Linked DNA regions of Mus musculus. The main gene of each other region encodes a partner of the protein of the gene in region 3 in a complex. Links are inferred from orthologs where the notes say so. Each region holds a gene or a part of one and is shown on either strand. Other genes may lie near its edges. The genes, in order: Lin52, E2f4 and Mybl2.

What was found.
Region 1: the proteins of Mybl2 (region 3) and Lin52 are in contact, whole or in part, in a crystal structure (PDB 6C48), measured with the Homo sapiens proteins. The link is inferred for Mus musculus from reciprocal best matches to the Homo sapiens genes MYBL2 and LIN52. Residues at the interface, in NP_002457.1 of Homo sapiens: Trp663, Val666, Ala667, Gly669, Thr671, Asp673, Gln674, Phe676, Lys680, Ala681, Gln683, Leu684; in NP_001019845.2 of Homo sapiens: Gln84, Ala87, Tyr88, Gly91, Leu92, Glu94, Ser95, Met98, Thr99, Lys102, Phe103, Leu107, Glu108, Lys109.
Region 2: Mybl2 (region 3) and E2f4 share a complex: the UniProt entries of both Homo sapiens proteins name them as parts of the DREAM complex. The link is inferred for Mus musculus from reciprocal best matches to the Homo sapiens genes MYBL2 and E2F4.

What each region holds. Positions count from the first base shown.
Region 1 is NC_000078.6:84,454,488-84,458,140, forward strand, and holds part of Lin52 (protein lin-52 homolog), read left to right. Parts: intron 1-1,753; coding exon 1,754-1,828; intron 1,829-3,461; coding exon 3,462-3,499; intron 3,500-3,653.
Region 2 is NC_000074.6:105,300,578-105,303,334, reverse strand, and holds part of E2f4 (transcription factor E2F4), read right to left. Parts: coding exon 2,719-2,757; intron 2,083-2,718; coding exon 1,870-2,082; intron 1-1,869. UniProt on the Homo sapiens protein: Transcription activator that binds DNA cooperatively with DP proteins through the E2 recognition site, 5'-TTTC[CG]CGC-3' found in the promoter region of a number of genes whose products are involved in cell cycle regulation or in DNA replication.
Region 3 is NC_000068.7:163,078,566-163,081,994, reverse strand, and holds part of Mybl2 (myb-related protein B), read right to left. Parts: intron 2,402-3,429; coding exon 2,288-2,401; intron 1,278-2,287; coding exon 1,173-1,277; intron 1-1,172. UniProt on the Homo sapiens protein: Transcription factor involved in the regulation of cell survival, proliferation, and differentiation. Transactivates the expression of the CLU gene.

The DNA.
Region 1 (3,653 bases), on a different chromosome or scaffold from region 3:
CATGCTGTGGGAGGTCATAGCAGGGACACATAGAAGTGGGACGGTCTGGCAAAGGGAAGCTTGATAACAGTAGTTTCAATGCACTAGGGACTGAACTAAGAGTTTTATAGGTTAGAGGGTGTAGGTCCTGGGGAGATGATACATTGTAGGTAAGCAGCTAGCTTTGCAAATATGAGGACCTGAGTTGGAAGCCAGGCATGGTTGTACCACCAGCTCTGTGGGTGTGGGGAGGGTATGCCCAGAAACAGCTGGATCCTGAGAGCATGCTGGCCAGCTAGCTTCTTAGTGAGCCACTAATAGACAAAATAAAAACATTTAGCATCCTTTTTGGTGTTTATTGTCATATGCCTATTTGTAGACTTATTACATCCATATATGCATGTGTGCATGCACACACACACACAGAGTGTGAGGTGTGAGAGTAAGGACAACGGGATACCCAGGAGGGAGGCTATGAGTTTAAAGGGAGAGTTTGCATGTTTCTGTGTGTGTCTGCACTCAGACATGCATATGGATACTGGTGCATGTGTGTACATACATGTGGAGACTTGGTTAACATTAAGTATAGTTTCGCTCTTTCTCTCATTTGTTTACTTATTTTTATGAGACAGGGTTTCACTATGTAGCCCTGGCTGTCCTGGGTCTTACTTTGTGTACAGGCTGGCCTCAAACTCAAAGATCTACCTGCTTCTGCCTCCCTTGTGCTGGGATTAAAGTCATTCACCACCATCACACAGCAAAGTGCTCTTTTAATAAGTGAAAAGGGAGATAAATTCTAGATCAGGCTTGCTTGTTGGCTCTGAGTCTAAAATAGAAACTTCTGCTACAAGAAGACTGTCTGAAGTGCTTATTAAAGCTGAAGACAGTGGTCTACAGTCAAGATTATCTTTGTTGAGAGCAGTGACACTTAGCTGACTGTAACTGGAGACAAGTTGAAGAGTGTAGGAAGACAGGTGGGTTTGCTGACACTCTTCTTTACAAGGGGTTTTGCTGTAGTCTGGGCTGGTCTCTCAATGCTCCTGCCTTAGTCTCCCAAATGCTGGGATTATATGTGTCAATCACCATGTCCACCTGATACCCATTTAAAAAAAAGTTTATGTGTATAGGTATTTTGATTGCATGTATTTCTTTGTACTACATGTATGCTAATTGGAATTATGGACAGTTGTTAGCTGCATGAGGTGCTGCGGATTGAACATAGGACCTCTGGAAGAGCAATCCATGCTCTTAACCACTGAGCCCTGATTTACTTACTTACTTACTTTCTTTCTTTCTTTCTTTCTTTCTTTTTTTTTTTTTTTTTTTTTTTTTGGTTTTTCGAGACAGGGATTCTTTGTATAGCCCTGGCTGTCCTGGAGCTCACTTTGTAGACCAGGCTGGCCTTGAACTCAGAAATCCTCCTGCCTCTGCCTCCCGAGTGCTGGGATTAAAGGCGTATGCCACCCCGCCTGGCTGAGCCCTGACTTTCTTTTTCTTTTTCTTTTCTTTTTTTTTTTTTTTGTTTGTTTGTTTGTTTTTTTCTTTTGAGACCTGACTTTCTTAAACACTTATTTTAATAAAGTGGAAGTCTGAGTTTTGATGAGGGAGAATCAAATTTATTTGTATTACATCATGCCCCAATAGGGCTTCAGGGAATCAATAGTTGAGACCTCTGAACTTCTAATTGAGTGTTTCAGGCTATGTTCTTTGAGATTGAAATATAATAAAATGAGAATGAATGCATTTCTCATCCCATCTTGGTGTTTGGTTCTAGGGACGGATTTGGAAGCATCTTTGCTAAGTTTTGAGAAACTTGACCGTGCCTCACCAGATCTCTGGCCAGAACAGCGTGAGTTATGACTTTTCTCATAGTAGAATTGACGCAGGAGAGCCGGCGCTCCCTTGGGAGAATTTTATAGTGTTATCATGGATCTGATGACTAAAATTTTTATTTTGGTTTAAAGAGAAGAGATTGATGTACAGTAAAAATAGGGACTTAGTGGTTTAACTTTTCAGAACATTGCAAGAAGTGATAATGAGCTTTTAAACAAAATTATAGTTTTAAAACGATATATCTGAATTTCAGACAATACTGAGATGCACAAAGCATTTGTTCATCTCCTTTAGTGAAATAGTTAAATATTGTTTGTAATTTTATTACAGACTTGTTTGGACTTTTTTATACGTGTACAGATAAGCATATACATATGTATGTTATGTATTGTCTGCATGTATATCACACAGGAATTTTTGGTTTTCATAGTGATGATGTAATATGTATAGAGCTTTCAGCTTAACTTATTTCAACAGGAAATTTGATGGATCGTTCCATGTTGATCTTTGTAGGTCTGCTTCATTGTTTTATGTATATTACAGTGGACAGGTATATTCTAGCTTCTATATTCACATTCTATTTGGAAACCTAACTTACCTCATTTGTATTTCACAGGCAGTGTATCAGTGAGTATCCTTGCATATCTATCCTGTATGTAGAAGAGGATGACTGCCCATTTTCTCACTAGCCAGTGTCACTCCTCATTGTTATGTTTAACTTGCATTTCTTTTAGGTTAAATTATATTCATTATTGGGCTGAGGGAAGCAGCCACGTGCCATGACGCATGTGTGGAAATCAGAGGACAGCTGGTCCGAGTCAGTTCTGGCCTTTTACCATAAGCCTGAGACTCTACAGTTCAGGTTGTTGGCTTGGTGGCAAGTGCCTCTCTCCACTGAGCCCCAGCTTGTATTTCTTAGTTAACAGAATTGAACATTATTTCCCTCTACCTTTGTATTTTAGCTGCTTTGCTTTTTAATGTGGTAGTATCCATGAGGCATTTGCATAAATAAACCAAACAGGACAACTGAAAAGAATGTTTAGCTTATTTATATTACTTATTTATTAGTAGCCCTGGGGTTCAAACCAAGGTCATGTGCATGCTAGAAAAGCACTCTATCCTTGGTCTAAATCGCTAGCTCTGGAGAGGGGGTTAAAACTGAGGCGAGAGATAGCTTACTGTTCTCAGGCCCAGTCCTGGCCCTTTAAAGCGGGAGGCAGTGGTTTCTCAGAGAAGCTTCTTCCGCCCCTTCGCTCCCATGAGAGCTTATTTGTTTGTTCTTGTCTTCCTGTGACACCTGATGCTTTTCTGAAGTGCTTAAGTGATGCTGATAATATATGCTCTGTCTTTTTCTAGAGTGTAAGCTACTTGAAGGCAAGATTTGGTTTTCAGTTTTTTAGGTTTTTGGTTTGTCCGTTTGTGTTTTGTTCTTTTCAGACAAGGTTTCTTTGTGTAGCCATGGCTGGCCTGGAACTTGCTCTATAGCCCAGAGTGGCCTTGAACTCACAGAGATCCCCCTGTGTCAGCCTCCTGAGTGCTGGGATTAAAGGTGTGCACCACCACCATCACCCAGCATTTCTTTATTATTTAAGTCCTCAGTGCCTAAACACAAATGCTTCCTACATGAGTAACTTTTTTTTCTTTTTTAGTACCAGGTGTCGCTGAATTTGCAGCTTCTTTCAAAAGTGTAAGTAAAACAACTTCTGTCTGTGGAAGTTTATCCAAAGTTTGCTCTTGGGTAAAAGGCTCAAATCTTTATTTTCAAGACTAGTGTCATAGTCTTCTAATCCTTTTTTGACTTTAGACTTTTAAATATGTTTAGATTATCAGACTGCTAGCTG
Region 2 (2,757 bases), on a different chromosome or scaffold from region 3:
AAAGGATGGTTTAATGGGTTAACAGGCAATAGACCATGCACGATATAATACCAACCTACCTGGCAATGTGGCAATGTGCCTCCTGGTACAGTAGTGGCGTAACTTATGAGGGCAACCAACCCCTTTCCTTGTCTTTAAGGCCAGCTCCACAGGAAGTAATTCCTACCAGACTGATACTGTAAACCTTGTCAAACACCATGGCTAGAGAGATTGTTGACCCTAGGGGGAACTTACTGCTGTTGCTTTGTTAAATGCACACATTACCAAACTGCCTCCTCAATTTTTATGCTTCTTTGTTGCTTAGAGAAAATGGCAGGAGTCAATGCAGAAACTCATAACTGATAAACTGCTGAGATTATGTTGGGCGCTCTGCCTAAAGTTCAGGGAATATTGCTAAAGAGAGTAAGAAAGATTGTACAAGCCACAGGATGGGGAAGAGCATTGTGAAAGACCATCTTCTGGATTTAACATGGTCACTGTACTCATGAACTCACAAGCCTCTATGGTTACCTACACAAGATCAAGCCATCCGACTAGCTGGGAAAGAGGGAGTCATTGTCTTTGGATCTGTGCATACATGTAGTGCTCACTAGAATGAGAACATGAGAATGGAAGAGGAAGGAAGTACTAGGAGGGCAAAGGGGGTCATTTTGTAAATGGTCAAAATATAGAGAGCTGGCTGTGGCACACATCTTTTAATCCCACAATCCCCGAGGCAGAGGCCAGCCTGGTCTACACAGCAAGTTCCAGGACAACCACAGCTACACAGAGACCCTGTCTCAGACAAAAAAAAAAAAAAAAAGCATAAATATATGAAATTACTGATAGGTAGATATAGATTAGATAAAATGTTCTAAAGGATGACTATAAATTAAAATTAAAATGGCATATAGTTTTCTGGTGTGCTGAGGATCTAAGAGGGATGAGAAGAGATGCTTCGCAGACTTTACCTAACCCATGTAAAGTGGGTAGCCGAGGGATCCAGAACTGAGAGGACACAGAGACGTCTTAAGCCTGGTGGTGACTAGAGCCAGCTGATAGAGTCCACTCAGAACTTGAAAGGCAAAGTGGAAGCAGGATGGTTAAGTTCAGAGGTGCAGAAGACAGATGCAAGACATAGAAGACTGGGTAACAGAGCTACACTATGTAGAGGCTGAAACCTACTATCAGCTCCCCAGAGCTGAGGCCCACCCCAGATATAAAATGGTAAGTACCAATAACTAAGGAACTGTCAGATGCCAGTGAGGTAGAAAAGCCAAGAGCTGACAGTAAAGACAAAGGAGGAAAGAGCATCAGCAGAGACCAAGAAAGCACCAGATCTCGACCTTAGAAACCTGCTGGGCCAGGCACTACACCAACAGCAGCAGAGCTACCCCACTGTGGTACGGCCTAATTTTAAAGGCATCCACACAAAGAAAGGAAAACAGGGGCTGGTGAGATGGCTCAGTGGGTAAGAGTACCCGACTGCTCTTCCAAAGGTCCAGTGTTCAAGTCCCAGCAACCACATGGTGGCTAACAACCATCCGTAACAAGATCTGACGCCCTCTTCTGGTGTGTCTGAAGACAGCTACAGTGTACTTACATATAATAAATAAATCTTTAAAAAAAAAAAAAAGGAAAACAGAAAGGTGAGGTGAATACAAAGAGTAGCAAATCTCAATTAGTGATGTTCCAAGTGGCAGCAGAGGGAAATGGAGTCCCAGGAAGGAGCAAGAGGCACCAGCACTGACCCTGAGATTAGACATCCTTCTCTGGCTGGCAGAGAGCTGAGCTTAGCAGGAAAGGAACTCCCAACTCCAAGTGTTTGATACAACAATGGGCTAGGGCTAGACTCTCCCTGCTAGCCCCCACCTCTCAGTAAGTACTCACCGCCTGTGGGGTCTGCTTTGATGGGCTCAAAGGAGGTAGAAGGGTTGGGTCCAGATGAACTGCTGCTGCTGCTACTGCTGCTGCTGCTGCTGCTGCTACTACTATCCAGCAGTGCAGAGGACTGCAGAGGCCGAGTGTCCAGTGCTGTCAGGCCCAGTGGGAGTGAGCTGACTTCACCACTGTCCTTGTTCTCAGTTCCAGGGCTACCACTCACTGCAACCACATCCCAAACCACACAGTCAGGAACTGGATTGTACAGCTGCCATAGGCTAGATCCTATGGCCAGGACAACCAGTGTGGTAACCAAACCGAAGGAGACTTAGACTAGTTACCAAGAAACATCTAGAAAAGATCACTATAGAACACAAGTCTTGGAGGAGGGAGACTCATGGGGTCACCAGGATCCGTCAGACACTGTCCAATTTGGGATAAACTGCCCTAGTAATGTTGCCTATAGAGTCAAAGCTTCCTTGTTAGAAAGGGCATATTCAGGGCTGGAGAGATGGCTCAGTGGTTAAGAGCACTGACTGCTCTTCCGGAGGTCCTGAGTTCAAATCCCAGCAACCACATGGTGGCTCACAACCATGCCCTCTTCTGATGTGTCTGAAGTCAGCTACAGTGTACTTATGTATAATAATAAATGAAAAGAGTAATTTAAAGGGGCACATTCACTGTGACACCAGGGAAAGCTCAGTGGGGACTCAAGGACTTCTAATTCTTAGCACAGCACGCCATCACACAGAAAGCTTCTTGTGGAGTCCAAAAAAAAAAAAAAACCAAAACCAACCAACCAAACAAACAAACAAAAACCAAAACACAAAACCCCATCACACCTTACCACTGTCTCACCTGCAATCTCAGATGTCTGGCATGCCACCTCTGAGACTT
Region 3 (3,429 bases):
GACACAGGACACAACCCTACTTGCAAGATATGTTTAGCAATTCATATCCTTCATTCATGCTCCCCCGACCCCACTATTCCCTGTACTGGGGCCAGGGCTGGAGGAAACTCCAATCCCAAGTCCAAGAGAGCGCAGCCTGGCCTACAGAAGGGTTTCTTGTGAAGCTCCGTCCCTCAGGCAGAAGGGACAAATAGGTACCATACATATCTGTATCTACGGTCTAGGATGGCCTCCAGGCTCCCTCGGTATCTCAAGTACCTGTCATACAGGCGTTCAAAGCATCCCAGTCCTATCTCCCCTCCCCTAAACTCCAGCCCCCCCCCCCCCCCCCCAGCAACACACACACCCTGGCCTCCCCGCAGCTCCTCATCCTTAGGACACTGCCATGCTCACCATGGTTTCTCTTTCTTCACCTGCCATTCTCCCCACACTCACACTCCCCTGGCTACATCTAGCCTGCTGTTCATGTTCAGTCAGCTTTCTCTCTCTGCCCTGGACTCCAGATGCCCCTCAGGGCTGCTCTCATTAAGTACTAAAAACCTCCCCCTTAACTATATCACAGAACGGCCATGTCACCAGTTTAGTGAAACCAGGCCACATCCCATCAGCTGCAAGGGACCAGCCTCACAGCATTTTGCTCTTGTTTGTTTGTTTTTGGAGACAGGGTTTCTCTGTGTAGTCCTGGCTGTCCTGGAACTCACTCTGTAGACCAGGCTGGCCTTGAACTCAGAAATCCGCCTGCCTCTTCCTTCCAAGTGCTGGGTTTAAAAAGGGATGCGCCACCATTGCCCGGCGCATCTGGCTCTTAAAGGCAGTGACTTCTATGCCCAGAAGAGCAAGGCTGACCTACAGACCAGACAGACAGCAGCCACTTGGGGTTATGCCTCAGCCATAGGATGTGCTTGGGGGCACACATGGTTGACCTCAGTGAGAAGGACGAGCCCATGGCAGTCTGGCATATAACTCCTGCCAAATAAAACCCAGGAAAGACATTAGGACTGCTTAGTGAGCTCAAGCCAGGTGCCTAGGCCCAGCACCTCCCACCAATCTTCCCAACACTGAGCGCAGCTGGTGGACACTCCACCTCAAGTGTCCCCTCCATGACTAGACAGCTCCAAAGGCAGAAGGTTCCTGAAGACCTGTGAGGCCGGCGGCCACTGTCAGCCCCTTACCAAGGACAGGGGTTTGGGCATGGTAGAGGACATCAGCTTCCCATCTTCATCCATAATGTCGAGAGCCAGAGACTTGCGGACCTTCTTGATAGGGCTTCGCCGCAGCTGAGGGTTCGGAAGACAAATGACGTCGGGATCGGCAGTCAGGCCCCCAGGGCCAGCACCTCAGTGACTACAGTCAGAGTCAGGACTTTGTAAGTGCCGCTCTCAAAGCCTAGCTAGCAGCTCTTGCTCCAGGGATACGGAAAGACCAGGAGCCCTCAGCTACATCAGACTCTGACCCAGGAGGGACCTACCCTGCCAGACACTGGGATTCTTCCTAGCCTCACTGCCTAGCTTTAACCATCATCCCTCCTTAGAGCAGTCTAGAATAAAGCACAGAAACACGGAGAGAGTCCGAGCCCCCACCTCAGTGACTACAGTCAGAGTCAGGACTTTGTAAGTGCCGCTCTCAAAGCCTAGCTAGCAGCTCTTGCTCCAGGGATACGGAAAGACCAGGAGCCCTCAGCTACATCAGACTCTGACCCAGGAGGGACCTACCCTGCCAGACACTGGGATTCTTCCTAGCCTCACTGCCTAGCTTTAACCATCATCCCTCCTTAGAGCAGTCTAGAATAAAGCACAGAAACACGGAGAGAGTCCGAGCGCCACCTGTGGCTACAAGTGCTAGATAGAGACAGTACAACGGGAAGGAAGCTCACCTGAGCCCGGGGCCTGCACCGCAGCCTGTCAGTCACGCCTCACTCAATGACACCCTGTGCTACTTTCATGGCCGAGCCACCCACCCTGACTACCTCCTGAAAGAAACCCCTAGGATCTGTCCTGTCTACTGCCTCTCATTCCACAGGGATTCAGACGGCCATGAAGCGTGTGCTGTATGCCTTTCTCCATCCTCTCGCCCGACCACGACGACAGCCGCCACACACAGTCGGGCTCACTTCAGGATGCCCAGTCACAATGCTGGATGAAGGGCTGCATCATTCAAAGTACGGCAGGACCCAGGTGAGAAGCCAGGATGTAAGGCATCTCATGGGTCCTCCTGCCTTCCCTCAGGTCTGACTTTCTATGCAGACTGCCCGTGCGGAGGTAAGGGTCTCAAGCCCACAGCCACTTACCCCAGGCTTTCTCTTCTGCTTCTCGGGCCTCATGTCATCCTCAATGATGAGCTCCATGCCGGCCTCAGAACGGAGCACCTCCTTCAAGTCCTCCTCCAGGTGCGGAGTCTGCGGCTGTGGACAGAGGCGAGGGTGAGCGCAGGAGGCCCGCTCGGGCGGCATAGGTCTAAGAGAGCCCACGAGAGCATGATGATCTCACGTGCATTGCTCATAACCATTAACTGCCCTGCCTTAGACAAATGGATGAAGCCTACTTAACCCTGAAGGTCTATGTATGCACAGAGCAGCTCTGCACCCATGGTCCTGGGCAGCAGTTATGTCCAGAATAGAAACTCAGGCTCACACCGAGAGCCCGACCCACACCATGGCAGTCATTAAGAGTCCAGATTCTTGAGCCCACACTTATGCCAAGTCCCGGCTAGTCAAGTGTGGAGGCAGAAGCATCCCTTGAACCCAGGAATTTTGGACGGCACCTTCTATATGACCTCAGCACCTGTGATGCCAAGGCAGAGGAATGAGCCCTGGGCAAGTTCAGGGACATTCCAGGTGTGTTGGTTAGTTTTCCATTAACTTGATACAAACTAGAGCCATCTCCCAATGAGACTGGGCTATAGGCAAATCTGTGGGGGTGCTTTCTTCACTAGAGACTGATATGGGTGGGCCCAGTGTAGGCTGTGTCCCGCTTGGGCAGATGGTCCAGGAGTATATAAGAAAGCAACTGAGCAAGCCATATAGAGCAAGCAAGTATACAACACTCCTCCACGGCCTCTGCATCAGATTCCTGCCCTGGGTTCCCTCGGTGACGGACTTTAACTGTAAGCTGTAATAAACCCAATCGTTCCTACGTTGTTTTTGGTCACAATGATTTTTTTTTTACCATAACACCAAATCCTGGGCTTCGTAGACAAAAGTTCTATCAAAAAACTAAAGAACCGGGCTGGAGAGGTGGCTCAGCGGTTAAGAGTACTGACTGCTCTTCCTGAGGTCCTGAGTTCAATTCCCAGCAACCACGTGGTGGCTCACAACCATCCGATGTCCTCTTCTGGTGTGTCTGAAGATAGCTACAGTGTACTCATATACAAAAAATAAATAATTAAAAAAAAACCCCAAAAAACTAAAGAACCGCTGGGCGTGGTGGCGCA